Notamacropus eugenii: one gene and its partners. The protein of the gene in region 3 interacts with the protein of the main gene of each other region in a biochemical or structural test. Links are inferred from orthologs where the notes say so. Each region holds a gene or a part of one and is shown on either strand. Other genes may lie near its edges.

What was found.
Region 1: the proteins of ESR1 (region 3) and TRIM24 form a complex in vitro, tested with the Homo sapiens proteins (4 studies listed by BioGRID). The link is inferred for Notamacropus eugenii from reciprocal best matches to the Homo sapiens genes ESR1 and TRIM24.
Region 2: the proteins of ESR1 (region 3) and scaffold attachment factor B1-like form a complex in vitro, tested with the Homo sapiens proteins (2 studies listed by BioGRID). The link is inferred for Notamacropus eugenii from reciprocal best matches to the Homo sapiens genes ESR1 and SAFB.
Region 4: the proteins of ESR1 (region 3) and NR0B2 form a complex in vitro, tested with the Homo sapiens proteins (2 studies listed by BioGRID). The link is inferred for Notamacropus eugenii from reciprocal best matches to the Homo sapiens genes ESR1 and NR0B2.

The regions. Positions count from the first base shown.
Region 1 is NC_092874.1:110,703,018-110,710,219, reverse strand, and holds the start of TRIM24 (transcription intermediary factor 1-alpha), read left to right. Parts: upstream 1-4,182; 5' UTR 4,183-4,319; coding exon 4,320-4,713; intron 4,714-5,414; exon of another isoform or gene 5,415-7,202. UniProt on the Homo sapiens protein: Transcriptional coactivator that interacts with numerous nuclear receptors and coactivators and modulates the transcription of target genes.
Region 2 is NC_092875.1:73,568,668-73,575,639, reverse strand, and holds the start of scaffold attachment factor B1-like, read right to left. Parts: upstream 3,008-6,972; 5' UTR 2,747-3,007; coding exon 2,561-2,746; intron 1-2,560. Other genes in the region: SAFB2 (scaffold attachment factor B2), read left to right, coding at 3,177-3,482, 4,207-4,294. UniProt on the Homo sapiens protein: Binds to scaffold/matrix attachment region (S/MAR) DNA and forms a molecular assembly point to allow the formation of a 'transcriptosomal' complex (consisting of SR proteins and RNA polymerase II) coupling transcription and RNA processing.
Region 3 is NC_092873.1:243,779,761-243,787,630, reverse strand, and holds the start of ESR1 (estrogen receptor), read right to left. Parts: upstream 3,015-7,870; 5' UTR 2,877-3,014; intron 1-2,876.
Region 4 is NC_092876.1:68,043,964-68,051,444, forward strand, and holds the start of NR0B2 (nuclear receptor subfamily 0 group B member 2), read right to left. Parts: upstream 3,013-7,481; 5' UTR 2,887-3,012; coding exon 2,367-2,886; intron 897-2,366; coding exon 655-896; 3' UTR 1-654. UniProt on the Homo sapiens protein: Transcriptional regulator that acts as a negative regulator of receptor-dependent signaling pathways. Specifically inhibits transactivation of the nuclear receptor with which it interacts.

The DNA of each region.
Region 1 (7,202 bases), on a different chromosome or scaffold from region 3:
CCTCCCACTCCTCTAAATCTACCTCCTGTCCCTCCGCCAAAGCTGCGGATAGGCTCTGAGTGAGTACGCTCAGAGGCTCCGAGGGCCCAGACCGCCCATAGGTAAATGACCGCGTTCCTTGTGATGATTGTGACAAGGACATGGTGGCTGGGGGGAAGGAGAAGGCATTAGGTCTGATCTCAGAAGGATTGGGAGTTCCTAAACTCTGTTGAAACTTCTTCTTGCGAATTCCCCCACCCTCTTTTGTTGTTCCAGGGACTTTCCATTCTTTCTTAAGGGTTCCTTCTGACGAGCCCTTTGTCTCGGGGACTTTCCAGGGGACCTTCCACTCCCTCTTGGGCGTTCCTTCCTCATCAAACTTCCCTTTTGTTCCTCCCCTCGGGGCTCTATAGTCCCACCCCTTGCTCAGCCGTGCGCCATCTTGAAGGGCGCGGTTCTGGTCCCTGCCTGCACATTCTCTTAACATACCCCATGGATATAAGGGCTGGGGCTCAGTATTATCCTCATCGGATTCCCCTTCTTCTTCTGTCGTCCCTTGAAGGGACTGCCCTGTTTGGGTCTCGCCGTTAGACCTCCCGGGGGGACGGGGATCCGAATGCAGAAGCGTGGCGACCACTTGAAAGAACGTAAAGTCCTCCTCTGTTAGTACGCCAGGGCTCTCTTTCTCATAGGCGACCATCTGCTGTCCCACTACGCCCCATTTGGCTGGGTGTAGCCCACAATATTCTAACCAAGGGGAAACATCCCAGATCTTTTCCACAAATGCTCTACAGTCCCGGATGTGGGGCTTAAGCCCATGGGTCTTACAAAGCTTATACAACTGACAGGCAAGCACTCCCTTATCTTCGGGCTTCAGGTTGGGAAAACTATTTCCCTGGCCCATCCTGGCCACTTCCCAATACTGAGACTGCCTGAATCTTCCCGCAGTAGCGGGTCAAGGCCACTTCTCAATACTGAGGCTGCCTGAATCTTCCCGCAGTAGCGGGGCAAAGGCGGATTCTCCTCTCCTTACAGCGGCCCCTGTTCAGGCGCCAGCTGCCCGGGGTCTACTCCCGGGCCTTCGCCTCTCCACTTACCGATCCCCGGTCTTCGGACGTCTCCGGCCCCTCTCCCGGTTGGGGGAGGGCAATAAACAGGCAGAGCACCCGAAAGGAGTTGCAGTCAGCAAGCTTTATTGCATTTCTTCCCCTTCTCCTTCTCCTTCTCCTTCTAAGCCCTTGTGATCATCCCCTTTTATTATCCCCTGTCTCCTCCCCCGTACCTCCCATGGGCGGGCGAGCTCCTCCCAAGTGCCTCCCCGCGGGTGGAGCCAGCCTGTTACCAGGGCCATCCCAGTACCCCACAAGGGGGCAGGTTCGGACCCTCAGGCGTCTCACGGTCCTCACGGGGGACCCTGGTCCAGACCTGTCCCCCAACAGGATCAATTGAAAAGGAATTGCCTTTGCCATGTAACAACAGTCTTTGATTGAATCAGTTAATTAGAACTAGGTGTGAACAAGACATGGACACCTTTCTGGAAGCAAAGACATTTAAATTGGTTGAGGTAAAACAGACTTCAGCTTGGTAATGCTCTGCAAGGTCTGTATAAAAGCAACAAGATAGTTAAAAATTCTCTAAATCTGAGTGTCTAGTGGGGGAAAAGAGAGATTTCCTCCTCTGGGGACAGAGACTAGACCAGTAATTTCATTGATATAGTTCCCAGATCAGGAAATGCCCTTTACCACAGCAGGTCAGCACTTTTCTGCAGCTTAGGTCTAAAGCACTGGGAGAGGAAATGAGTCACCCCAAGGCTACCCAGTCAAAAATGTATTGTTGGTAGGACTTGAACCTATGTTCCTTGTAGGCTAACTCTTTGTTCACTATGCCATGCTGGTACTCTTAGACATTAACTCTTTCTCTTAAAAGAGGTCCAGATTCCATTCTCTTGCCCCCATCTTTGAAAAAAACTTCAGGATGCTCAGGAGTGATTTCACCTTGAGTACCCATAATAATCTGTTTACGATTTCCATATTCTCCACTCCCACTTACTCTCCAATCTCCAATACTTTAATAAAAAGTAAACATTTTCAGTGCAGGACTTGGTTTTTTTTCTTTGTACCCCCAGTTGAGTCTAGTGGAAAGTGTTGTTGTTCAGTTGTGTCTGAATCCTGGTCACTGCATTTGAGGTTTTCTTGCCAAAGATGCTGGAGTGGTTTGCCATTTCCTTCTCCAGCTCATATTAGAGATGAGGAAACTGAGGCAAACAGGGTAAGAAGAATTGCCCAAGGTCATATAGCTAGTCTGAGGCCAGATTTGAACTCAAGAAGATGAGTCTTCCTGACTTTAGGCACTGTACTCTACTCACTGAGCCACCTAGCTGCTCTTCTGGGCAAAATAGGTACTTCCCAAATGCTCTTTGATTACTAGTACTTTCTCAAAACAGGGTCTCTGGCTTTGAAAGATTCCTAGGTCTCAGTTTTTACAAGCACCTAAGACAGGAGATCATCTGGGGGGTCTGGGTATATAAATACCTGGTGATCTAGTCCCATGGGGTGAATCTACCTGGATTCAGAGTCAGGGCTACTTCCTTGGCCTCTTCTCTAGACTGTTGGGGGTATCCAAGTCAGACTTCAAGCATGTGCAGAATGTAAAGGCTCGATGCCTGAGCTTGGCTCCTTGGAATATCTGGTGTTAGATACATGTCTTCAAGAAGTTAAATTCTGTATGGACTAGGAGTTATGGCTGCCTGCATCTTTTCTAAAGATCCCAGGGGCAAACCTTTTAATACAAAAGTTTTAAAAATCCTTGTTTCTGTGTTGTTTTTCCACAAGGAAAAGTTGACAAATAGTCTCCCTTCTGGCTTTTTCTACTCTATTATGCCTAAAATTCAATCCTATGATCTCGCTTCAGGATTAAAAACTTTTTAAAAGAAGCTCAAAATTTTTTCTTGATCAACTGTTTCAACACATGCTGGGAATCCAGGCATTCTTAAGTGAATCCCTTGCAGCGTACAATCAGCATAAAAGAGGATTGACTCAATCCATTCATCTCCTCACTCTAGCTCACCCACAATTCTCCCCACCTTTTCCATTCATTATTCTGGTTAAAAAAAAAAAAAAGCAGATTGTGAAAATCCGTGGACCTCCTGCCTTGAAAAAACACCCCCTCACCTCTGTTTTTCCCTAGGAAGGTTTCTCTTCATCTCCTCTGATCCTTTCACTCCCGCACCCCGTCCAGACCTTTATTTCCCTTAAAGCAAAGGTTCTCAACCTGGCTTCCATGCACTTCGTACACATGTACAATCTGAATGTCAATATGCAGAGTGGGTTTCTTTGGCAATCCTATGCATTTTATTTTATGCATCTAATACAAGATCCTGGAAAGGTGTCGGTCCACAGGCTTCCCCGGATTGCCAGGGGGTCCGTGCCGCAGGAAGGTCCCTCGGCTGTTCATCTGAACACAGAGCGCCAGGAGGTCGCGCCCCCCACTCTACCGCGCCGAGGGCCGGAGGAGAGTTCTCTCGGGCAGTTACTTATTAATCACAGCTCCCAGCAGGGAAGGCGGGGGGCGGGGGACGCTCCGGGCAGGGAGGAGCGCCGCGGGGGGCGGGGGAGCTGGGGGAGGGTACGGAGTTAGGTGCGAGGTGGTTGGACGCGGGCTGGAGGAGGGAGGGCGTCACTCAGGCCGGGCCAATACAACAAACAGAACCCTCCGTCTCCTCCGCGGTGCAGAAACCGCCACCAACAGCCCAACCGCCGCCGGAGTTCCGCGGAGAGGAGGCGGGGCCTGCGCTTGCCCCCGTCCCCCTCCCTCCTCCCCGCTCCCTCTCGCGGTCCCCTCTCCCGGGGCGAGCCTGGGTAGTCCCGGGCAGGCTCCGCCCCCTCGCGAGAGGCGGCGGTCATTGGGCTGCGGGGCTTTTTTTGCGGTCGTCCTAGTTGCGAGGAGAGGGCGGAGTCGGGGAGGAGGCCGCCTTCGGAGGGCGGGGGAGGCGGGAGGTGGTGGTGAGCGGCCGGTCCGGGAGCGGAGCCGAAGAGGGAGAGTGCCCGGGAGAAGTCGAAGCCGGGGAGGGCTCCGGGATCGCGTCGGCCCGGGGCGAGGCTTCCCGCCGCCGGCGAGGAGCGGTGCCCGCGGACTCCTCTCCCTCCTTCCGGCCGCGACACCGGGGAGGCGGCTTCCTCTGCGCCTCCCTCCCGATCCTCCCCGCCCCCTAGTCCGGAGGAGGAGGAGGACGGGGGCGGTGGTTGGGAGGAGGAGGCGGCGGCGGCGGCGGCGGGCGGAGACCGCGCTCCCCCTTCTCCCTCGGCGGCGGCAGCGGCAGCGGCAGCGGCGGGGACAGGACAATGGAGGTGGCTGTGGAGAAGGCGGCCGTGGCAGCGGCGGCGGTCGCGGCAGCGGCGGCTGCGGCAGCGTCGGGGGCCCCGGCGGCCGCGGCCCCGAGCGGGGAGAATGAGGCCGAGAGCCGGCAGGGCCCGGACTCGGAGCGCGGCGGGGAGGCGGCCCGCCTCAACCTGTTGGACACTTGCGCCGTCTGTCACCAGAACATCCAGAGCCGGGCGCCCAAGCTGCTGCCCTGCCTGCACTCCTTCTGCCAGCGCTGCCTGCCCGCCCCCCAGCGCTACCTCATGCTGCCCGCCCCGCTCCTGGGGGCCGCCGAGACCCCCCCTCCTCCCGCCGCCGCCGCCGCCGCTCCCCCCGGCTCCCCGATCTCCGCCACCCCACCGTACAGCACCCAAGGTGAGCGAGCCCCTTTCCCGCCGCGCGCGCGAGGCCCGGGAGGGGGCGAGCCGAGCTCGGCGGAGCCGCGCCGCTAGCTGGGGGAGGGGAGAAAAGGGGCGGGGAGGCGGGGGACGCGAGCGAGACACACGGCGGGTGAGTGCGTGCGAGTGCGTGCGGGTGTGTGGCGACCCTGCTGTCATGTCGCCACGGGGGAGGGGGGAGAGGGAGACGGCAGGGTCTGTGTGTGCGGGCGTGTGCCCTGCGCCCAGGGCCCTGCGCGCTCCCCGCGCTCCGCCGGCTTCTCCGCAGGCCGCCTGCCGGGGCACCCGGGCTGGGCTGCTCGAGTCTCTCGAGTGGCCCGGCGCCTTGTTCCGGCCAACTTTTTTCTGAACGCCGACCCCTTAGCGTCACTGCTCACTCGGTGTTCGCCCGAAGCTTTTGTCCGGGGCTCCGGGATCCCGGGAAAGTAGGGAAGTGCCTCGTCCGTCTTCCTTTATTCTTCTTCAATGGATGAAGCCTTCGGCCGGCGCCAGATCTGACGTTGGGTTTGGAGGATGGAGCCTTGGGCTTGGGTCCTGTGTGGGAGCTCGTTTCCTCGCGGTGCTCTTGCTCCCCTTCGTCGGGGACAAAGGGACAAAGTGACAGTGTTTCATTTGTCCTCCCGTGAGGGGGCTGGCGTGGACGGGCTTGGCCGTGGGAGAGGCGGGAGAAAAGTGAGTTCGGTGGGAGAGGGGTTTTTTTCTTTCAAGTGTACGTGAAGAAGAGCTGGAGGTGCTGGAGATGGACGGTTTCTCCCGGGATGCGGTTGGGTGTTTTGTTTTGTTTCGGTCAGTGTAGTGCGGGAAGCTTAACAGGTAACCTGGTGTTGCTTTTGGTACCTGTTATTAGATCTGAAACATTTTTAAAAGTTAAAAGCAAAATGTTGAATTTGATACAGTTGTAGAAAGCTTTTTGCGTTTTTGTGCTTTCCCCCCTGTTTTTGTATTTTCTTTTAAAATTATAAAAGCAACATTTAGGAAAATATGTTAACTGCTTTTCAAAAAAGGAAATAACTTATTTTTAACTCCTCCCATTTTTAGAGGAGAAACTCCATTTAACTTAGAGTAGTTAGTAGTTTCAAGGCAGTGGCTAGAGCAGTGGGCCTGGAGTCAGAAGACCTGAATTCATATTCGACCTGAATAGTTTTGTTAACCCTGGGTAGCTTCCACCTCTGCCTCAGTTTCCTGTTGTGAGTATTAAACGAGACCGAGATAATAATTGTAAAGGACCTAGCTCCATTTAAATGTTAACCATTATTAATTATTCTCATTTGCTAGTGCCCCCCCTCCCCACTGTACTTTGCGTTTTTGTTGTTAAGTCGTGTCCAACTCTCTTCACCTCGTTTGGGGTTTCCTTGGCAGTTACTAGAGTGGTTTGCCTTTTCCTTCTCCTGCTCACTTTAAAGATAAGGAAACTGAGGGGAAAGGGGGTTAGGTGACTTGGCCAGGGTCACAAAACTAGTGTCTGAGGCAGGATTTGAACGCCACCTAGCTGCCAGATAGGTTATAGTGCCAAATTGAAGTAAGAAGGGTTCTGAAGAATGCTTTTTATTGGAATAAAGTGAACTGTGGCTTTAACACTTCCACTTAGTTGTAGTGAATCAGCCTACCTATTCAAGATTAATCCTGGGTGTAAGGGCAATTGAAATGATTAAATCTTGAGGGAAAAAGAAGTAACTTTTTTTTTTTCCAAATAGTGTATTCTTCAGTGAAGCTGCTTTTAAAGAAAGAACATTTTCATGAAACTGTTTAGATCCCTAACCAGATGGAGTTAATTAACCTTCCATGATCTATCTGACCTGAACCTAGAATTAAAAAGTTCCTAAGAATTGAAGCAATGATTGGTGTCATGCAAAGAGGTCTTGCAAAATTTGGAGTCAGAGGACTTGGTCCTCAAGTATTGAATCTACCTGTGTGATCTGGGATGAGTCTGACCCCTTTAGTCATCTGAAAAATGAGGAAATTGGATTAGATGATGTCCTAAAGTCTCCTCCAGGTCTAAATTTTGTGGGTTCTTTGGACTTCATACAGGTAGTCCAGATACCACTACTATTGTGAAAACCAGCTTGTAATTTACATGAAATATGAACAGGTCTTTGAAGATGTGTTGAGGACATTGATCTTGTTTCTTCTGTACCTAGTACTTACTGGTCAAGCAAGTATTCAGAAGGACAGAGACAATTTAAAGAGAAGTTTCAGCATGTAAAAACTATTTAAAGCTCTTCTTTATAATATATAATCCCTTCAGTGAAATATAACTCAAGCAGAACAGTCAGTTTGTGTAGGTTATGTGATTTGGGATGACTTAATAATCCTAGGGAATTTTTTCTTCTTGAACCAGTTGTCTTGTCTAGTTTCATTTTAGCTCAGTTTTCTCTTTTTGATTCAGTGATTTGTTTTGGAAAAAGAAGCTAATTTCAAAAATGTAAATTATTGGAATGTCAGGTCTTAAATTGCATAAAATTCTTA
Region 2 (6,972 bases), on a different chromosome or scaffold from region 3:
TGAAGTCTTCTACCAGAGCCAGGTAAACCATGTTGTAAGATATATTATAATACATAATTCTTTCATTTAGGGCTTGGGAAAGATGTGGCCTCTTCCAACTCTCATATTGTGTGATGTAGAAAATAAGGGAAATGTTCAATCTATGGCAGAGATCTGATTTTGTCACCTAAATTTTAATGACAGTGAAATCCCATTTCATTATTTTCTTTTCTTTTATGGGTAAAATTGCAGATAACTATATTATTTATCATGGAACCATAGTAATTTGTAATTGGCTAGTTTCAAGTCATTCAAAACTTAAACAGAAGGAAAAACTAGCTTACTGCCTGTAGTACTGAATTTGGGAAAAGGGTTAAGTGCATCATAATCTAGAAACTAAGTGAAAGTTGACTGCATAACCTTGAGGGCAAAGACTTGTTTTGAAGATGAAGTATACCACAGTGAGAAGTGTTGAAATCAAGAGCCAGGAGTCATCGAGGTTTAAATCTCATCTCTGACATTTACCAACATGACTTAATTTCTCCCAGATAAAGTTTTTTAATCAGTAAAATGTGAATAATAATGCCAACAGTATTTACCTCCTTGAGGCTCAAAGGAGAGGATGTATTTAAGGCACTTTACAAATTTTAAAGTGCTAAATGAGTGTCAAGCTATCATTATTTGACTTTGCGTCTCCAGTGCCTAGCTCATGCTTAAGTACAAACTGAAATGAACTGAAAACATCAACTTTTCTCAGTGCTAGGTTTACACTGAAAACAGTCTGAAGCATCCATATCTCCTCCTGAGAAGCAAGCAAGTGGATCAGCCGAATAGGCCCAACTTTAAAAAACAAAACATAAATCAACATAAAGAAGAATTGAATGGTGGACTGACTGGATAGCACCTGAGACAAGATGTGGGGAAATTCATCCCCACCTTAAAAGCTGGAGCATTGTACCCATTTTTTTCATGTGAAATAAGGTTACATAAAAGACCTTGAAGAGGAAAAAGAAGTCACAAAAAATTAACTAGATGTTTTGTTTGTAAGATATGGTCTAATTTGTGTAAAGAGCATAATATTTCTTGAACTTCTGAAATGAGCTGTCACATAACTTTTATCTATCTACTTCATCTCCCACCTTAGATGCCTCCTTCATCCTAGAGTAAACTGGATGACTTCAGTTTCTGCTTCTTTATTTTTCAAATGAGGACAACATTGTCTCACCTTCCTGGGATGGTTCCACCCCACTACTTGTCTCTCACCATAAACTGTTACATATAGAAGGCAAAGTCAGTGTCTCCCTTTTATTAAACCACTTAAACAGAGATGAGGAAATTATCTCAATCTCAAAGTCCAGCGAGCCCTACTGGCTATTCAGTGCACAGAACACTTTGTGTCATCTATTATCTCCGTACATGTTGTATCTCACTGTCACCAATAGAATTTAAGCTTCTAGAACGCAAAGACTATTTTGTTTTTGAATTCCCCGTGCCTATCAGTATCTGGCACCTAGGTGGCATTTAATGCTTATATTAATCAATGGAATGGTAAGGGTTCAGAAATGATTTTTCATTGAATGGCTGAAAGACAGACAGGAGACAATGTATGAAAAAAGCTCTTGAAACCATAAAAGGTGTCTGGCTCCACTCCTTCCTCTCACGGAGTTACTCCTTCCTATGAGCTCTCTGCTCCAGCCATACTGGATCACTTTGTCCACAGTACACAAAAATCCGGGCTCTCAAGCCTCTGGAGGCAAGGCAGCGCAGTATACAATTTGGCACTAAGGTAAGACTAGAGTTGATACTGTAGGTCTACTTACTAGCTGTGTGACCTTAGGAAGCTACTTTACCTCTCTGGGTCTCAATTTCCTCACCTGTAAAATGAGATTCAGTTCAACAAACATTTTATTAAGTGTCATCTACCAAGTATATGCATTGCTAGGATGGAGGAAGGCCAAGACCAAATCCGAGCAGGCCCTGGCCGTCTAGATCGCCTCCAACGTTCTCCTCCATCAAGGATCTCTGCTCACCCTGTCCCCAAGTCCTGGGATGACCCCTGCCTTCTTCAAGCCCCCCCTCCTCCAGGAGCCCGACTTCGTCGTTTCTCCCCGCCCCCCATCTTCCCACAGCACTCGGCTTAATAATAACCTGACTAACCCAAGCTGGGCACCCTAGAGCTGCCTCCAAGCCATCCCGCCCCAGATCGGTGATAAAAACCCCAACAAGCCGCAGGTCGTCTCTCCTTCCTGGGGAACCCAAGGAAGTCGATATCGAGACGTGACTCCTCCTCCCTCCCATCCCCCCCACATCCAAGTTCCACCGGCCCCCAGAAATCCACCCAGGGAGCCCAGCCTCGGGACGTGCGGGGCGGGGCGCGCGGAGCTCTGCGGCCGGGGGCGGGGACAGCCAGGAGGGCGCGACGGCGGGGGAGCTCGAGGGCCCGCCCAGCCCCCCGCGCGCCTGCGCGGCGAGGCCCGCGGCTATGGCGACCCGGCCACTCTCTCAACCCCCCCTCCCCCAGCCCCCCTCCCCCATCCGTTCTCCCGACCCTCACACACGACTAGGCCCCAGAAGGCTCCACCTTCTTGAGTCGGTCCATCAAGACGCTCTTGTTGCCGCCGCTATCCAGGTTCCGCTTCTTCAGCTCGGCCCGGAGGTCAATCACCCGCAGATCGCTTAACCGCCGGGTCCCGGTCTCTGAGGAGGCGGAGCTGAGCCCTGCAGTGACAGAACTGGAATCGCCTGCGCCTGACAAAATCTCCGCCATCCCGAAGGGTCCTACCTCCGCTGCCCAACTCGCACGATTCGGGCGACTGCCACAGCTAGGAACACAAAATGGCGCCGCCTGCGAGGGAGCGGCACCAGCCTCCCCCACCCGTGGCGTCACTGCGCGCGCGCCGAGAAGGTGGTCTTTTTTTTCGGGAGGCTGCCCCCTCCTCCAGGCGCATGCGCCAAATCCCTCCGTCACCAGGAAGGAGGGAAGTAAGGAGCTTCACTGTCTAGATGCGCAGGCGCTCAAAACCCAAGCAAACTCCCGCCCTCAACTAATAGAGCACATGCGCAGCACCAGTTAGAGTGGGAGGAGCCCTGGATACGACTGTGGATCACGGGGGTGACTGCGTGGGATCCTACAGCACGCATGGGCAAACTCCCTCCGAGGAGGGGGTGGTGGAAAAAAGCCAAGTCGGTTGGCGCGCATGCGTAACCGGAAAGGAGGCAGGCTAGTGCGTTTTTCTCGCAAACGGCGCCATTTTGTGTTCGGAACTGCCGCAGCCACTGCTGTGTGTGAGGTGGGCAGCGAAGACAGGGCACCCAGGATGGCAGAGGCTCTGTCAGGGGCGGGCGATTCGGGATCTGGCCCGGCGGGTCTCGGCTCCGCCTCTTCGGAGACCGGGACCCGGCGGCTAAGTGATCTGCGAGTGATCGACCTCCGGGCCGAGCTGAGGAAGCGGAACCTGGATACCGGCGGCAACAAGAGCGTCCTGATGGACCGACTCAAGAAGGTGAGGGACCGGGGCACATCCGGGGCCCCGGCACTCGGTGTGGAGGGGGCGGGTGGAGGAGCGAGGGAGACCAGCGCGTTAGCTTGTCGCCGCGCACGCGTATTTGAGTCTGGGCTAAGGGGAGGTGCGCGCCTGTGGCTCGGCTCGGGGCACCCCTTGCTCCGCGGCCCGCTCCCCTCCGCTCCAGCCCTGGTCCACTTGCTCACCCCACCCCGCCGGAAAAAACCTTGGGAACGGGCGCGCTGGAGCGGCCCCGAGCTCCTGGGAAGGGGGTGTCCGGCGGGGGGCAGAGGCCGAGAGAGGAAGTCCTTCCCGTCCTGGCTCCGGCCGCGGGCCGTCCTCTGGTTATTCTGCCCCGAGCCGCGACCCTGTGACCTTTGGCCCCGCTCCGCACCCTCCTCTCCCCCGGTACAAAGTTCCAGCAACCTGTTGGTGTCTGCGAAACTTTCCCAAAATGGGTAAATCCTCGCAGCGCGTAGAAATGGCCGGCCTGGGCTTGGGTCCGGGCCCCTTCAGAAGCCTAAGGCTGCGCTTCCAGCCGTACGAGCCATGTCGCCATGTGATAGTGAAGTTCACTCGAGCCTGACTTCTGGGCTTGTTGCCCGGCCGGAGTAGCCTAACGAGAGTGAGGGAACTGAGCGTTTATTGCAGCGAAAGTTTATGACCAGTAAAGCACATGACGTCATGCACCTAACAAGCTCCCCTGAAACTGATATCTTAATAGGCTATTGAGGACGAAGGGGGCGATCCTGATGACATTGAGATTGCATCAGAGGCTGCCAGCAAGAAAATCCCAAAGAGGTATATCAAAGGTATGTGCACGAGCTCGGGGCAGAGGTTTTGGTGGACTGGAGAAGGCAGAGAACACCTTTTCTGTTTTCGTTAGGTTAACGTAGTTTTGGTTTTTACGTTTTTAAACAGTGAGCTTAGGTGAGCACTTAGGTGAACTAGGCAGAGAGCCAAGCAGGTGCTTTCAGATGCCCACGGGCTTATCGCAGAACCAGTGTACTTACTCCCACTTTGCTTTAATAATTATACTCTTGATAATGGTCATAACAGTTTTCATCTTCATGTGGCTTTTAAATAAAAAATTAAGTACTTTGACCTGTATTATCTCATTTGATCTCAACCATATCTTTGAGATAGTTGGGGAAAGTGGAATTTGTATTGCCTAATTTTCAAATGAGGAAGCTCAGAGGTCAGTCTTTGTAGGAAGAAAGACATTTTAGTCGGCATGTCGATATGAATGAACGGGTCCTATGAAAATAACATATCTATGAGAACACTTAACAAATACTTTTGATCATCAAAAAATACTGTTCATGTTCCTTTTCCTTCCCAAATTTTGATCCATTTTAGGACTGATGGACCTGAGGAGGCTAGCATATTGTGATTATTTTGATATGAGCACTTCTGTTACATTGTGTACAAATTTTAAGTTTTCCTGTCAGAGATGTATCATATAAATATATCCTACTATTATCGCTTTCCTTGGTAACATTTTTAGCTGAGGTGGTACTGTTTTTTCTTCTTTTGATCTATATTTCTTATTTTTATTCTGAACTTAAGTATTAAAAAGGGAATATTTCTATATGCTTTGAAGAACATAAGAGAATTGTATATGAAACAATCTCCATGCTGCTTTAAAAAAACTGAAATACTTGGTTATTTTCAAAACTGTTCTTTTTGTGCTTCCTTCTAAGCATTTTTCTGTTCCTTCCTGTGCATTTTAAACATTGTTTCAGTCGCCACATTGTTTTGTGGGGTGTTTTTGGACATTATTTTTAACAACCTATCTGCTCAACTCCTTTTTCCTCAATTAAAAACTGAGGGGGGAAAAAATCCTTGTTACAAATAAGAATAGTCAAGCAAATGATCACCATGGTAGCTATGCCTCCTCCTGTACTTTGAATCACTTACCTCAGGAGTCATTAGGTAGGTAACACTTCTTCATGTATATGTACACTGGAAAACTGATTGAAAGACAAGAACTCTAGTCAATACAATGACCAAAGTTGTTTTTTTTTTGTTTGTTTGTTTTTTATGGTATTGTTGTCCTTGTATGAATTGTTCTGGTTCTGTTCACTTTACATTTTTTATACTACCCCTAAGATTTTCTGCGTTTATCTTTTTTGTCATTTCCTATGATGAAATATTGTTCCATTACATTCATACACTGTAATTTGTTCTGTCATTGATGGGTATCTTCTTAGATTGTAGTTCTTTTTTCCCATACTTTTAATCCACCTTCCTTCCCCCTATACTTCACTGTCAAAAAGTCTGTTTCCCTGTGGGTGTTCTCCTCTTGGTATTATCTTCCCTCTTAACCCTCTATCCCTACCCCCATCTTTGCTTGTTTCTCTGTTGAGTTTGATGTATTTCTACACCAAATGGTGTGTGTACATTCAGCCCTACTTTATCCATGTCATATGAGTGAGCTTCATCAGATACCTGCTCCCTCCACTCCTTTCTCCAAGTTTTTATACTCTTCTCATGTCTCACCCCCATCTCTCTCCATTGTTATATTTCTTACACCTTTTCTTTCCCCTTTTAAAACTCTCCAAACAAAATAAGTATTTCCCAAAGCTTATATTTCAGTTATCAAGCATTATTTTTTTTTCTTTACCCATCTCCCCCCTTCCACTGCAAAATAAAGAAAAACAACCCTTCGAACAAATATGAATAGTTAGGGAAAATTGTTTCATTGGCTGAGTCCATGAAATATAGATCTCCTTCTGCACCCTGAAATTGTTCGCCACTTTGTTAGGAGGTGGGCAGCATGTTTTCATCATGAGTCTTCTAGAATTGTGGGTACCCATTGATAGAGTTCTCAAGTCTTTCAAAGTTGTTGTCTTTACAGTGTTACAGTTATTTTATAAGTTATCCTTCTGATTTGTATCACTTCACTCTGCATTAGTTCTTTCCTACAACATAAAAAGCTGCTGTAAATATTTTTGTACATGAGTCCTTTTTCTCTTTGTTTGGTCTCTTTGGGGTATTGACCCAATAGTGGTATAACTGAGTCAGATGGGATATTCGCAATTTAATAACTTTTTGGCATAATTTCAGATTGCTTTCATGAATAGCTAGACCAGTTCACTGCTCCATCAATAGTGTATTTTTGGTATTCCTGTTTTCCCTCCCACGTGTCAGTTAACTTTTTTGTCTACTTTACTAATCTGATGGGTGAGAACTGGGGCCTCAGAGTTTCTTTAATTTGCATTTCTCTAATTATTAATGATATGTAGCATTTTCTCATGGCTATAGATAACTTGAGAATAGCATATTAATATCCTTTGGCTATTATCAGTGGGCAGATAGCTATTATAGATTTGAATCATTCCTTATATATTTTATAAATGAGGTCTTTATCAGAGAAAATTTGTTGCAATGGTTTTTCCCCCACAGTTAACTGTTTCCTTTCTAATCTCAGTTGCATTGGATTTGTTTGTGCAAAAGTGTAGTTTTATGTAATCAAACAAAATTGTCC
Region 3 (7,870 bases):
TGCCTAAGTTGTCTAATATTTTAGGATAGTAGCTTCTCAGGGAAAGGAATGCAGAATCACAGAATGTTAATGCTGGAAGGAATGCTCTAACATATATACAGAGTCATAGTATAGGTCTTTTGATTGGTACTGAGAGATGAGATAACTTAGCCAAGATCACATAGCCAGTATGTATTAGACTCGAATTCATGTCTTGCTGACAACAAGACTGGTTTTCTATCCATTGTATCATGCTGCCTCAGGAAAGCACAATCACAGCCTTCTTGAGGCGCAGTAAACTAAATTATCTATCCTAGGATAAATACGCAAAGTATGTTCAGTTTCCCACCTGGGCGAGTTCTCCTGAGATGTTTCCAAGAAGGTTAATTGTAGATGCACCACCAGCACTACTCTCAGCATTATAAAATGTAAATTTTAAAAGCATCTATTTTACATGGGGCATGATGCCAAATCCTACTTAAAACAAGCTAGACAGCCAAGGTGTGTTCATCCTTCCTAGAGAAAGACATCACTCACCCACCCACTAGCAGCTAAGGGCTTTGAGTTTGGTTCTCCCTTTGGTGACAATAAGCTACACCCTACCAAAAAAAAGACCTCATTTTTTTTGCCTAATCTTAACCAATAGTATGCATCTGTGAAGGGCTAGACTGTATTAGGGACATATAATCTATGGCTCTAAAATAGAATTTTTTCTCTTTAATGTTAACTGAGCAACCCACTAGAAGTTCAAACCTAGGACCTTGGCCCCATTAGAACTAAGGGAACAGAGTAGTTATAGACAGATATGCAGAGGATATCCAGATAACATGAAAAAAAATGAGGGAGGAGCCATCAGAAATTATTTCTAACATATAGATGTCAGGTATAAATGTATCTGAGAGGTCTAAAGTAAGCATGTTGCCTATCACTCCCTAACTCCCCCCAAGATAGCAGATTGTAGAGCTGAAGTTAAATTTTAGGAAATAGGGTTCATGTGAGTAGACAACAGTTATGTAACTATGTCCTCATTGCTAATTCAAGAAACATATGATCTGTCCCTCTCCCTGTCACAAATTATATGTATTTCCACATTACTAAGAAAAAGGTTCTATTGACAAATCCTGGTAGCTTAAAGCATTATATAAATGTTATTATTTTTGAAATTAAGCCTCTTGCTCCCTAGTCAACATTAATCATATCTAAATTATTGATAATTACTCATTTTTTTTAATTTAAAAACCCCATGACAAATTCTGCGGCAGTATTTCATGTGTCCAGAAGCCTAGTAGGTATCATTAAGATACCCATGGAATAAAATAAATATTAATGAAATAAAACAAGAAGTGGCTGCATGGAATAGATTTGAGAGTCTGACCTAGAGTAGGGAGGATGTAGGTTCCAGTTCCACCTCTGACACTTACTGATGACACGATCTTGAGTGAATCACTGCTGCCAGGCAACTCTGTAAGACTATAAATCGGGAATCCACATTGATAGAGGGCATTTCCTCACCTGCAAGCTCCCTTCACTGATGAAATTACAGGTCTGAACAACAACAACAAAAGGTGTCAAAAAAACCATCAAAAATGATGCCTCCTTTTAGCAAATAGAGAAATGGAGGTAAAAAGACAATTAGTAAATTACTCATGAGCAAATAGGAAGTGATTTAAAACAACCGCTTTAATTGCTTTGGTCCTTTGTGCATTTTTTTAAATGCTCAGTGCATTTTGAGTGGTTAGTCTATGTTCGTCCTCATCTTGCACCTGAGCTAGCTTATAATTAAACAACCAAAAAACACATACACCTCAAACAACACTACTTTCCCAGCAAGCTCCTTCTCAGAGTTGTTCTGCAAGTTTATTCAATCTTGTCCATGAAGCCATGTGAAATCCGGTACCTTGATTTGGACTCCATGCCTTGATTTAATGTCCTGAGACAATCTTACCCTTATATCTATATGCAAACATAGGTATTTTTTAAATTATATCATCTCCTATGGGGAGGCTAGTTCCCTTCTTGCTACAGAGTTAAATTGACATTTCCTGAAACTTGTGGCTTTCCTCTCACCAAAATGAAAGTGTACCGTCCTTGCTGTGTGCTTTTGCCACATCATTACTGGACTAGCACCATGTGACACCGTCATATGTGGTACAGTCATTAATGAGGACACCAGCCTGCTGAAACAAACAAACCAATTTTTTTTTCCTTTTTCACACAAAAGAAAACTGAGGTCAAGAGTCGAAATAAATTGCTTGAGATTATAATGCAAATCAATGACAAGGTCCTTCTTCCTAGGCTCCTATCACTGGATTAGGCTGCTTTTTGGAAATCTTCCTTTCTTCTAGGAAACAGCTTGTTCAAAATATTTGGTTGGAACTGCCAAAAGTTGCTGTATTTCTACTATAACATAACAGGTAGTTGCCATATGTTCATGACAACTTCAGTGTATTCTCTATCAGATCTCATCAATGTGCACAGTTGGCCAAATAGAGAGACTTAGGTGATTCTGGAATATTTCTGTGGATTTCATGGAGAGAGCTGTGTCCAAAAAATATATTTTGTTGGGAGCAGTAAGTCCGTCACTACTGCACTAAGAAAAGGGTACTCTTCTTGCCCTCTGACTCAGCTGATTATGATTCCAAAAGTGAATTTCCATTGCACTTAGTTCAGACTTAACACTTGAACATAGTAACACTCTGGCCAACAGACTTTGTAAATATCCCTCAAGTCATATGGAAAAAGAAAGTGAATGGCTGTAAGCACTAGAGTTACAACATACTTGTAAATAACATGCACACACACCAATACACATACACACAGATTCCTTCCCCCTCAAAAAAAAGAGGGGGAAAAAAGACAAGAAAAAGAAAGGGGAGGAAAGAAATAGGAATACCTACTTGGACAGAAGAATCTCCCTCACAGCCTGTCTGTCTTCTTATACTATAGAATATGCAGGAGGAAGGATTATTAACCTTTCTAGCCCATTAAACAGCTTCTGTGCATGTGCCCTTGCATTCTCTGTTTTGGTGAAATCTGCTCTGTGGCAATACACAGGAGGTTGTTATGACCAAGAAATTAGGAAATGCAAAGCCTCAAAAATGAAAAGCTAGCACCACCATTTGACTAGAAGTGGAAAAATCTCTCTGAAAAAATGAAAGGCCTGCCTTTTCTCCATGCTAGGTCAGATTTTTCAACTTTCTGAGCATTTCAGGCTAGGGTAGAGGTTTGACAAAAAGTGGAATGTGTGTCATTAATCTGCCAGCAAAACTAATACAGTCCAGCTGATGTGTTTTCTGCCTGTAATAAAGCATAAAGTCTTGACAGGGGTGAATCTAACTAGGAAAAAGCATTTGTTCAGCACATAAATTTTGTGAACCTCAATTAGTTGCTGCTAAAAGCCATATGAAAACTCATGGGAAAGGGATTCTAGTCATGCCATTCAACCATTCCTTCTACCCATTTTCCTTCTTGACACTGAATAATTGGTTACTTAACTATAGTCAGCCTAGCCTAGATTAGCTTCTCCATGACTTTTAAGCCCTTCCCTCCATCATATGATCTTCTTATAAACTGTCTGGCATTTCCTGCAGTGATTTAAGTTTCTCTTTGACCCAGGAGATAAACATTTTGAAGTAGAAAATGAGCTAATAAAAGGACCTGGGAATTTAAAGAGCTTTTGAAACCTGTTTGTAATTTAAGAGTTTGTATCTTAAAGGTCTTTAAAAAATAAAAAAAGCTTAGTTGATGAACTTTGGTTTACTGTAAAAAAAAAAAAACTAAGGAGTTTTTGGGACAGGAGAGGAATAGATAGGAGGAAAAGCATCTCTCATATCTACTTTGCTAGACAAGTTGCCATTTCTTAAATGGAGAAGTTCCTTAAAACAGGAAAAAAGATAGACAATCAAAAACCAAGAAAGACAAAGATAGACAGACAGACCTAGGACAGGTAGACAGAGAGGAAGAGAAACAGAGAGAGAGAATGAGAGAGAAGGAGGGAGGGAGAGAGGGAAGTAAGGAAGGAAGGAAGAAAAGCTAGGGGAGTTGCCCAAGTAGGAAGTTTAGAGGGTTCAAAAGGAAGCCCTTCCTCTTTGTAATTTTAAGATTAGTGACAAGTAAAAGATAAATTATCCAATAAATCAATTCTTTGAATAGAAGTTTAAGAAAAATAACATTAAAAGCTTTTTCTGTATTAATCACTCAGTTATATGATTTGCAGACATTTCTGCCTTTTACTGCCAAATCTTTTGAGTCACTCATATGCCTCAGTGCATAGTTACCTATACATAAGTATATGATTAAAGATACAGTAGTACTTCAACAACTGAGAGATCTGTAGGAAGTACTGTGAAACCCTGTAAAATTATAATAGCTGACACTTACTTTACGTACTGATCTGGGAATATAAAATCTCATCTGATCCTCCCAAGAACCCTGTGAGGCAGATGGCACAAGTATTATTCCCCCATTTTACATGATGACAGGGAGGCTAAATGAGGACAAATAATTTGCCCAAAATGACACAGCTACTAAGTAGTAGAACTAGAACTCAAATTCAGATTTTTTTGGCTCATCCCAGGATTCTTTTCACTATACCATCCTGCTTTTCTAATTACATATCACCTTTCTTTTCCCATATTAGTTTCTGGAGAAGATACATAATTCTTCATGTGCCCTTTCAAGAGAACAATATCCACAATGACCATGATGTAATGGAAAACAAGGCTTAAAGGTGTGAGTTAGATTAGTGCCCTGAGCAATCTTGACTCTAGAGGATTGATGATAAGATATTCCTTATTCCTGTCAGTGGAGAGGTGGTAGACTACAAGTGCTGAATAAGGTATATGCTGTCAGGCATGATCAGCGCATTTGTTTGGTTTGTTTAACTGTACTGCTTTGTTGCAAGAGGAGGTTCTAACATTGGCAGAATGGTCCTTGGAAAGGATAGCTACAACCAAAAAAAGCTTCAATGAAAGATTTTTTAAAATATTTTCTCTCTTATTTTGTCATAAAATTTGCAACTGTTTAGTTGAATGGAATTCATCATCAATAACCAGAATAAATGATGAGAAAGTTAGCAAATTAGGATTTAAAGCAAACTGTCAAAACATAAGACAAATTTCAATGAACATTCGTTAACCACCTACAATGTCCAAGGCTCTGTGCTCAGTATGGGCATACAAAGAAAAAAAGAAAAAGAAAAAAAAAAGAAAAGAAACTTCCTTCTATTTCACTACTCAGATTTACTTCCCCAATATAACTTATTCAACTGACACATAAAGCCAAGAATTTAATTATAACTAGACTGAAACTGACAATTAAAAAAAAAACAATCCCAGGGTAAACATATAGTTCATCCAGGGTCACACTGCAACTAATATCCTGAAATCTTTTATGAAGCATTGAAGACAATGTAACTGTGGCATCTTGCCATCCATTACTGCCCCCCAATGTAACCCAAGTTCCCAGTAAAGACCAGGTTTCAACTAGCAAAGTAAATCAGAGAAATGAGGCAATATATCTGGGTCATTCAAGCAGAAATCTATTTTGTCTGACATCCAGACTAAAGCAGATTTTTTTTCATCTAATGGTTCAGTCAATAATAGGGTTTAGACATGAATTCCATAGATCATCTTTTTCTAGCCCTAATAATCGAGATCTCGCCAATGAGTATCCTTTAAAATTTCCCCTCAACTTGATTATAGTACCCAAGTGACTCTGAACTTCTTTTTTCATTAAATGACAAACTTAGTATGAAACTCTGCTCTCCAATTAGCCAGCCTATGGGAGTTTCCTAAGGTAAATGTCATTCTCGTGTATAAGATCAAGGCCCGGAAAGTCACAACATTATACTTCTGCCCAGTCTCTGAGTAGAGATTATTGAAAACATAGTCATAAGTCATAATATAGTCAACATCCACTACTTACTTACCTTTCAGTATGATTTACTCAAAACTTAAAGAACTTGGAGAGCAGCCAGCAAAAGACAATTCAAGTCTTCAAAAAAAAAAAATGTATAGTTTTACTTCAGTAGCCCAGTCAACCAGAAAATATTGTGGGAGAGAAATCAACAAATTTAGTTAAAGTTCACAGTTCTCATAATTTTAAATTTTAAATCTCACTGTGTAAATCACAAATGATTTGCACAAATGGTTTGCACTTCATAAATGCTTTTTTCATTTATTCTGTATGCAAAAGGAAATAATAAAATGAAGCTGTAAACATTCTAAAGAGGAAGAGTTGTGTGTATGCACATGTTTTAAAAATCTACTTTCAGGATGACTGGTTTGTCAGAACAAGTAAGATACCTGAGAGATTAAAGCATTTCAAAAGGAGAAAAGCTATTAATATTTCACTTGGTCTTCAGAAGCAGCTTGGACATAGCATAAACGAAGATAGTAGATGAATAGCTCCTTCCAAATTCTAAGGGACAATCTTCAACACTAAATGCAGTGTGAAAATAGACGGGTACAACAATCCGGGACTTTCTCTTCAATACTTTGCAGTGGGTTTGACCTTTCAGACTACAAATCAGGGAGGGGACTAGTTCGAAGGAGTCTCAAGATAAAGTTGCTAACAGTGGAGAAGCACATAGATCACTAAAGAGTTATTAGCTGTCCTAACAAAGTGCAAGCTGCTTGAAGACAGGACCTGTTTTCCTTTGTATTCTAAAAGTCTATTACAGAACCTGATATATAGTAGGTTTTACTAAATACTTGCTGGATTGGATATAATATGAACTGAGAATTATTTTTAAATCATATAAAAGAATGGAATTTTCATCAAATCACAGATTCTTTTCAAAGTGTCAAGAAGCTAAAGTCTAATATCTTAACTGGAGGAGAACACTTCTCTATTGAATCAATCAATAAATCATGGGCTTTAGACTAAGTACAGAAAAAAGTCCTTGTTTGATTAACTAGAGTGACTTTGCACAGGAATTATATTCCAATTAACTGAGGAAATTGTTATGTCATGTCAATAATCTATAAAAATCAGGTCATTTGGGGCCTGAAGGATTTGAGGAAGTAGAGAGGAGAAAACATTCCATCAAAATTCCTAAGAAAGAATTCATGCAGAAGGAGAAACCAGGCCCTGGGCTTTGATCTTCTTGTCAGTCTCCTCATCTCCTCCTCCCCACTCCCAGTCAAAGAGGACCCTCTCAGACTTAGGAGGACCAAATTAGGAGTCAAGGACAGACAAGACAGATTCCAGGCTCTATAAAGAGCACACCAGAAAATCTAAACAATATCCAATAGGAACGTTTTTATGATGCCAACAAGAGGTTTTTCCAGAACCTGTGTTATCCTTTGCCACATGTGCTTTTTAACCTTGAATTTACTTTCCCCTGGATTCTATATATATACTTACTAGAGAGTGTCACAGAACTTTTCTGGGGATGCTTTGTACCAACTCTACTACTGTAATAAATACCCCTTTCTAAAACTAAATGTCTGGCTGACAGATTGATCATAAACTTATAATTTTGGCAGGAAGCACACTGGTGGGGACTCAAAAGCCTTAGAAAGATATCTCTTCAGGATTAGCCCTAGAGCCTTAAGGAGACTTAGCTATAGTCTTTGGACCTTATTTATCAGTACAAGTGAGAACTGGGATAAAGACTTCCAGAATTTATGAGTCTACCAAAAAAAAAACCACTTAATGAGTTTATAATCTTATAATTGAGAGACAAGACTGCCACAGGAAATAATTAAAGAATGATGGAAGATCATGCAAGAGTAAAGTATGATAATGTAAACTATCCGATGTTGTTTATAAGAGTGACAAAAAGGGATAATCTTGTCATTATAGGGTAATTTGAATAGTGGCTACAACAGGATATCTATTCACTGTCATTTTACTAAAAAAAAAAAAATCTTTATTTAAACACTGT
Region 4 (7,481 bases), on a different chromosome or scaffold from region 3:
TATATAGAGAATGGGAAAGTGGAATTTCTAAGGTTGTGGAACGCTCTCAACACATAGGTATTCCATCTGGGGAACAAAGGATGTATTTCCTTTTCGTTTTTGTATCTTCAACTCCTAATGCAGTGTCTGGCACACAGGAGGTACTTAATAAATATCTGATGAATTTAATAAAATGTAGATCATTCCCTCCCCTTTATTTTCCTATTGACTGATTCCCAAGCCCTCAAAACCAGTAGATTGGAAGATATGAATTCCTCCATCTCTAGAAGTTTTTAAGATCATGAGACAAGAATGATGCAGAGGGAATTCCTATTCCTATCCTAGATTGGATGCCCTCAGGGATCCTTTCCAGCTGTGAGTCTATGAGAACTCAGTATCAGAGTTGAGCCAGTAAGCATCTCTACCCCACCCCAGCTCAGTTGGCTTTGGCATCTCTCAAGGCAGGGTACAGAGCCCAGATATGAAGAATGCTCAGGGCTGGTCCCAATGGGAGAGTCCCTGACCTGAGGCAATTCAGATCCCATCCAGAGAGGCACAGCCCTCAGAACAAGCTCTCTGACAAGTGTAAGGAGTCTTTGCATTGTCTCAAGCCTGGGTGAGGTGCCTCTGAGTCCTGAAGGCAGTTGGAAGCAGGAAAGGGAACCATCCCCTCGGTTAAGTCAAGTACAGCATGTCCACAATGAGGCTGGTGATGTCAGCATCCCCAAACATTGGGTGGAAAAAGAGGGAGCTGAGCAGAGCAGGAGGGATGGATTTCAAGGAGGAGGCCACAAGGAGGATGCGGGCAAAGCAGCCCTGGTCCACAGGGTGATGGAGTGCCAAAGCCTCCTGAAGGACCTGCTCTGCCTCCCGATGCAAGCTCTCTACATACGAAGCAGTCTGGAGGCCGGGGGTGTCTGTAGTGAAAGAGGAAAGAGGAAAGCTAGTAAATCGCTACTTCCTTCTGAGAGGCAGCAAGGTGTAATGGGGAAAACACTGGAACAGGAGTTTGGAGGTCTGGATTCCCATGCCTGCCTTCATCACCAGCTTTCTGGCTGACCTTAACAAAGTCAGTTCTCTCTAGTCCCTGGGATTCTGCTTTTCCATCTGGGAAATAAGAGGCTTATACTCAATAGTGATTGCTTGTGCCCCTTCCACCTCCGACATTTTCTGTTCTAAGGCCCCCACGTCAGTTTTGACATGCTGTGTTCTAAGGTCCCCTCTCTACTTCTGAGATTCTGTCTGTAGTGGGATTTTTTTGGGGGGGAGGTAAATTATTTCAAATAAAAATCTATTTTCTCTCCTTACTCCCTCTAAGGTCCCTCCCACTTCTGACATTCTGTATTCTAAGGACTCTCTTCACTGTCTCAAAACTGTTCTAGAGATCCCTTTCCAGGAAGACTTCTGGTCAACCTAACGTACTCAGCTCTGTCCGGCACTTTACGTACAAAGAGTCCTCTGATCGTAACTGAAATTTGCCTGTTGTTTTATGACTTTTCTGTGTATCTGTCTTCTCTCTATTATTAAGACCAAGGCTCCCAGAATGTTTGCATTATGTCTTCCTTGTCAGACATTGGGTTTAGTTCTGGGAGGGTACTTGTAGGTTATCTAATCACACCTGAGGACATCTAGGTAACTCAGTGGATGGAGTGCTGGACCTGGGGTCAAGAAGACCTGAGTTGAAGTCTGGCCTCAGACTACTAACTGTGTGATCCTGGGCAAGTCATTTCACCCTGTTTGCCTCAGCTTCCTCATCTGTAAAATGAACTGGAGAAGGAAATGGCAAACCACTCCAGGATCTTTGCCAAGAAAACCCCAAGTGGGGGTCACAAAGAGCTGTGTATGACTGAAAATGACTTAACAACAAGTCAAACCTTTGCATTCTATAGGTGAGGAAATTGAGGCCCAGAGAGTTTGTGATTTCCCCAGTGCCATACAGCTAGTGAGTCACTGAGGGAGCATTTGAACCCAGGCCCTCTGACTCCAAATCCAGTTTTCTCTTCACCATATTAACTCTTTCCCTCTCACAGCCAGGCCAGGACTTTGCTAAGAGGGAATTCTCAGGCTAGGGAGCCAATCATCTTGTCTGACACTTTGCCAGTGGTGCTAGACTTCTTTATCATCATACGCATGGTAACGCATCTTCTTCCTTCTTCCCTCTTTCCTAAGAAGGTGTGTGTTTGGGGCGGGGGGAGAGTCCTGGCAGTTCTGGAGTTCTTATTCTCCCTGGACATAGGGGCTTCTGTTCCTATGCCCCCCCACAGGAGCTTTGGCTATGTGAAGATAAGGCAAGAAGAGGACAGATGGACCCTGGGTAAGGTACTGAGGTGATAAGCTAAAAGGGAGGTGGGGGTGGGATAGGGGAGAGGCAGGACACTTCTACGCACCAGGATTAAAGAGGATAGCTCCTTTTAGGTAGGCATACTCCTTGGGGCTCAGGTCCAGACTCCAGAAAGTATGTAGGCAGCACTGGAGTCGATGTACCCCTGCGAGGGTGGGCTGGGGTCTTTGGGGTTCTGGGCTCCTCTCCTCCAGCAGAATCTTCTTGAGCATACTGGGAGCTGGCATCTCAGTCACCTCGATGGTCACTGCGTCCTGGGCCAGCCCCAGAAGGAAGAGGGGGGCCCAGCAGTTGGCGAGCAGCAGCCTCTGGTCCCCTGGAGGCAGCAAGCCAAAGGAGGGCAGGTTCTGCAGGAAAGTGATCGTCTTAGCTAGTACACCTGCTGCCGCCAGGCAGGTGTGCTGTGGAGCTCGGAGGCAGACTGTGCGGTGCCGGGCACAGAGGCAATGGGCATGGGGCGATGGGCCCTGGGACCGGCTCAGCAAGGAATACAGAATGGCGTGCTGGCTGTCTCTACCTTGGCACTCACAAGCTCCGGATCCTGTAGCTGGCCCACCCAGGCTCATGGTTGGGCAGCAAGCTAGGATTGGAAGATCAGTCAGGGAAAAATGACTCCGGCTGTTGCCAGCTCAACACCGTTCACTCCCTCTGGGGCCCCTGCGCAGCTCCTCTGCCTGCTTGATACACCATCCTAGGCTTGCACTTCTGATTCTATTTATAATCCCTGGGGTGGGAGGGGAGCCAGCCCCCACAACCTTGACTCCACCAGGGAAGTCCTATTCATTGAAAAACAAGATGACCCTGGCACGGTTGGCTGGGGAAGTGGCAGGCGGGGAGGGGGAGGGCAGGCAAGGGCTCCACGTGGCCCTGATAGGGCTTTTAGTCAATGAAAGGACCAGCTGGGGTCACCAGGCAGCCTGCTTTATCGGGATGACTCAGGCATGATAAACAGGGCCATTAACCCAGCCGGTACCAGGACACCAAGGCCCCAGGTGTACAGTCAGCATCAGGGACATGGCAGGTGTCAGCATACACATACACACGGCCCTTGTCTGCACCAGGGGCCGCCCAGAGGGAAAAACAGCCCCGAAGCCAGACCAACCTTGGACAACACAACCTGGAAGTCACCTTATCAGCTGCTGTTTGTTTAACCTTGGGGCCCTGCACTAGAGGTTCCTGCAGTGCTGGCTTCTGGGTACATAGAATCTGCAAAATTCTAAGGTGCTTATCCGGGCCCCTGAGCCTCAGTTTCCTTATCAAAAAATGGGGATAAGAATAGGTCACCTGGCTCATGGGATCTCAGTTTCTACCTATGTAAAATGAGGTTAGACTACATGATTTCTAAGGTCTTTCCAGGTTTGACAGTTTATGTTCTAAAGGAGCTGCCAGCTTTGACATTCTGTGTTCCAAGGGCCCTCTTATCTCTGAAATTCTGTGTTCTAAGACCCCTTCCAACTCTAAAGTTTTGTATTCTAAGTTTCCTCCTACCTTTGACATTCCCTACTCTGACATTCTAAAAGCTCTTCCAGGAATTCACATTGTATTCTAAAGGCGTTTCCAGCTCTGACATCCTGTGTTCTAAGGGCCCTCCCAGCTCTGACACCTGTGTTCTAGGGCCCTTCCCTGATCTGACATTCTGTATTCTAAGACCCCTCCCAGCTGTACCTGAATCACCTCTTCTCTTACTGTAGCCTAAAGCTGGGGCACCAGAAAATTCTAGAGAAGTCTCCCAGTTAGCTGGGCTGATAAAGGGTTCTCCTGTTGCCTGGTCAGGCCTTGAGTTCTTATTATTAACCATGTGACTCCAGGGGACTCTCTCTCTTTTGGCCACACTTCCTCTCAAAATGGCAATACTCGGTCTAGACAGGGGTTGCCTATGCATCTCTCTTAGCTTGTAGGGCAGCCCTCTGCGTCTTTGAAAAGAGTCTCTCCCAGTCAGAGATAGGACCTTTTATTAAAAAATGTAAGTGTTCCATTTTCTCTGTCCTTGGTCATTCAACCAAGCACCAGCCTATCTTGGAGTCAATTTCCTTACTCAGTATCCTGTTACCATTCCTCCCTGTTCATAGGGCAGCTAGGTGCACTGTGTTTAGAGGATTGAACTTGGAGTCAGATTAGACCTGGATTCAAATGCTCCCTTAGACCCTTTCTAACTGTGAGGCCCTGGGCAAGTAATTTAACCTCTCAAACTCAAGTTCCCCATCTGTGAAATGGGAATAATAATAGCTCCTATCGTACAGGGTTAGTGTGAAGATTAAAGTAATCATATTTCTAAAGTGCTTTGCAAACCTTAAAGTGTGATATAAATACTAGCCATTATTATGACTTTGTGAAGGTATCTATCTTAGAATAAGCTCCCAGAAAGCATGATATTTAAAACATGGAATATCAGAGCTAGAAGAGACATTAAAACACAAAAGATCATAGACTCTATAATATAGCATGTCAGAGGTGAAAGGCCTTAGGACATAAAATACTAAAGCTGGACCTTGGAGATCAAAGTGTCATGGACCCCTTTGGCAGTCTCAAGAAGTCAGAGGGAGCCTGGACTCCTGACTTACTCTAGTGCCTTCATTTTAGCTTTGAGGAAACTGGGACCCAGGGAGTGTTAAGGGCCTTTCTTAGGATCTCAAAGAAAGTAAGGGACAGAGCTGAGGTCCAAACTCAGACCCCTAGATTCTCAACCTTGTTGACTGACTGACTAGTTTCTGCATCTGGACATGCTCCCTCACTACCAGGGTCCACTAGAGGCAGTAAAGTAGCCACACAAAGTAGGAAGTTGATGTCTTGATGATCCACCATATTGCCTTTCAACATCTGACACCAGGTCTATGGAAGAAATTTTGGATGGTCTTTAGCAATCCATGAAAAGGAAGAAAAAGATAAGCAAAACTAAAATCTTGTATATGGAGCCTCCCAGAGGCAGACAGTGTAGACGCTTAAACCTTTGACCTAGAAGGAGGCTCAAGAGTTGATCTTGCCCAGCCCCTTGTCTCTAGGCAAAGAAGTATAGCATGGATGCCCTGGACTGTGAGTCTTTCATTGCCTGTGGATGAGCCAGAACTAAGCATACATACATACATACCTACCTACAAAAGGTGGCATCTGCTAACCTCAGCCTCTTTCCTTTGCTGCTCCAATCAAGGGCATCTTGGAGATGGTTCAAGAGTTAGTTTTGGGGAAAGGCAACTGCTTGGTGTCCTCTCCACTTATCTAGCTGTCACTGTAAGCACATGAACAGATTCTTTCCTTCCTGATATGAGGCAAACAAGTCCTCTAACATGAATATGTCCAGGCAGCAACACAGTGAGTTTGAAGGATCCAAAGGTGTCATCAGAGGCTCCCCTGCCCCAGCAAGGTGGGTGGGCAGCAGAGTCCACCAGAAGCAACAGCCACAGGAAGTAGAAGGTGACAGAAACAATAGATATGCCTAGGCAGTGAGTTACCTTTTAGATACTGCAAGTTCTGGGCAACAGACAAGCCTAGCAGGTTGCTAGCCCAGAACAGCTCACTCACCTCTGTTGACCATGGAGGTCTGCCATTCAAGCATAAGGATCTAACTGGATCCCCTTGTGATTTTTGTTCTTAGGTGACCTGACCAATTCCTGGTTGGGACTTCCTACCTTGTGTGGATACTGTTACTGCCTCTGGTGATTACGGCTGTAAAATGTAGCTAGGCAGATAGTCAACCAATCGACAACTACGATAATAACACATATAGCACTTACTGTATACCAGGCATTGTTCTAGGTGCCTTACAATTATTATCTCATTGATACAAATGCTTATTAAGTGCCTCCTATGTGCAGGGCCCTGTGCTAGGGCCAGAACAGTCCCTGCCCTCAAGGAGATCCCAGTCTAACACGCAAACAACTACGCACATACAAGATATGGACGAGTAAAGGAAGGTAGCCTTAGAGAGAAGACACTCTGAGGTCCCTTTGAACCCTCAGCTCCTGGACATTGTCCTCCCTGGATTTTGCTGCTGCTTCTCTCTCTTTGTTCTTTTCCTGTTTGTCTGACCATTCTTCAGTCTCCGTGGCTAGATCATCATCCATGTGGATCAACTTTCATCCATGTGGATCGACTGACCAGGGGTCCTCTCTGCTTTTCTCTCTCCACACTTGTTCTTGGTGATCTCATCAAATCTTACAGGTTCAACTATCATCGCAATGTATAATTGCTAGATCTAAAAAGTCAGTGACAGTCTGGCTTTGCAGCTGATTGGCACAGTGAATAGAGCACTGGACCTGGAGTCAGGAAGGCTCATCTTCTTGAATCTGGCCTCAGACAGTTGTGTGACCCTGGGCAAATCACTTCACCCTGTTTGCCTCAGCTTCCTCATCTACTGTGAATGGCAAACCACTCCAGGATCTTTGCCAAGAAAACCCAAAATGGGATCACAAAGAGTTGAACATGACAGAAATGAGTGAAAACAAAGATCCAAAAAGTCAGTCATAGTCTCTCTCTTGAGTTCCAGTCATCTATCACTAACTGTCTATTGAATATTTTACAATTGGAGGTCCCATAAGCACTTGGATCTCCATATGACCAAAATAGAATTTATTTTTCCTCCCCACTTCTGAGGTCTCTCCTTCCCTCCTCATTTGCCCCATTCTCTGATGAAGAGCTAGCCTTTATCCTCTCCATGACCATCCCCTCTTGGTTGCTTGGTTAGTTGGTTGTTGTCCTCCTTCATTCTCAAAAAGGACCAAAATAACATCACCATGATAAAGTGAAATTTCAGTGTGTCCAACTGTGGCTGATCAGACCAATATGAGCTCAGAAGGCCCTACCACAGATTGTGCACAGATAGACCATGTGAATATTTGGGGTGGATACTCCAAATTTGTGCATTCTGCGTTTACTTTGTGCTGTCTCAATTCTACTTTGCTCTGATGTGGGCGTGCCATGCTGAGCAGTCCTGTGCCAGTATCTCCCATGTTACACAGTCAAATCCAAAGTTCTTGAGAGAGACCTTGAGAATGTCCTTGTATCGCTTCTTCTGATCACCATGTGATTGCCTGCCCCATGTAAGTTCTCCATAAAATAGTCTTTTTGGCAGGCATACATTTTGCATTTGGACAATGTGGATAGACCATCAGAACTGCACTCTCTGAAGCATAGTTGAATGCCTTGGCACTTCAGCTTGAGCAAGGAC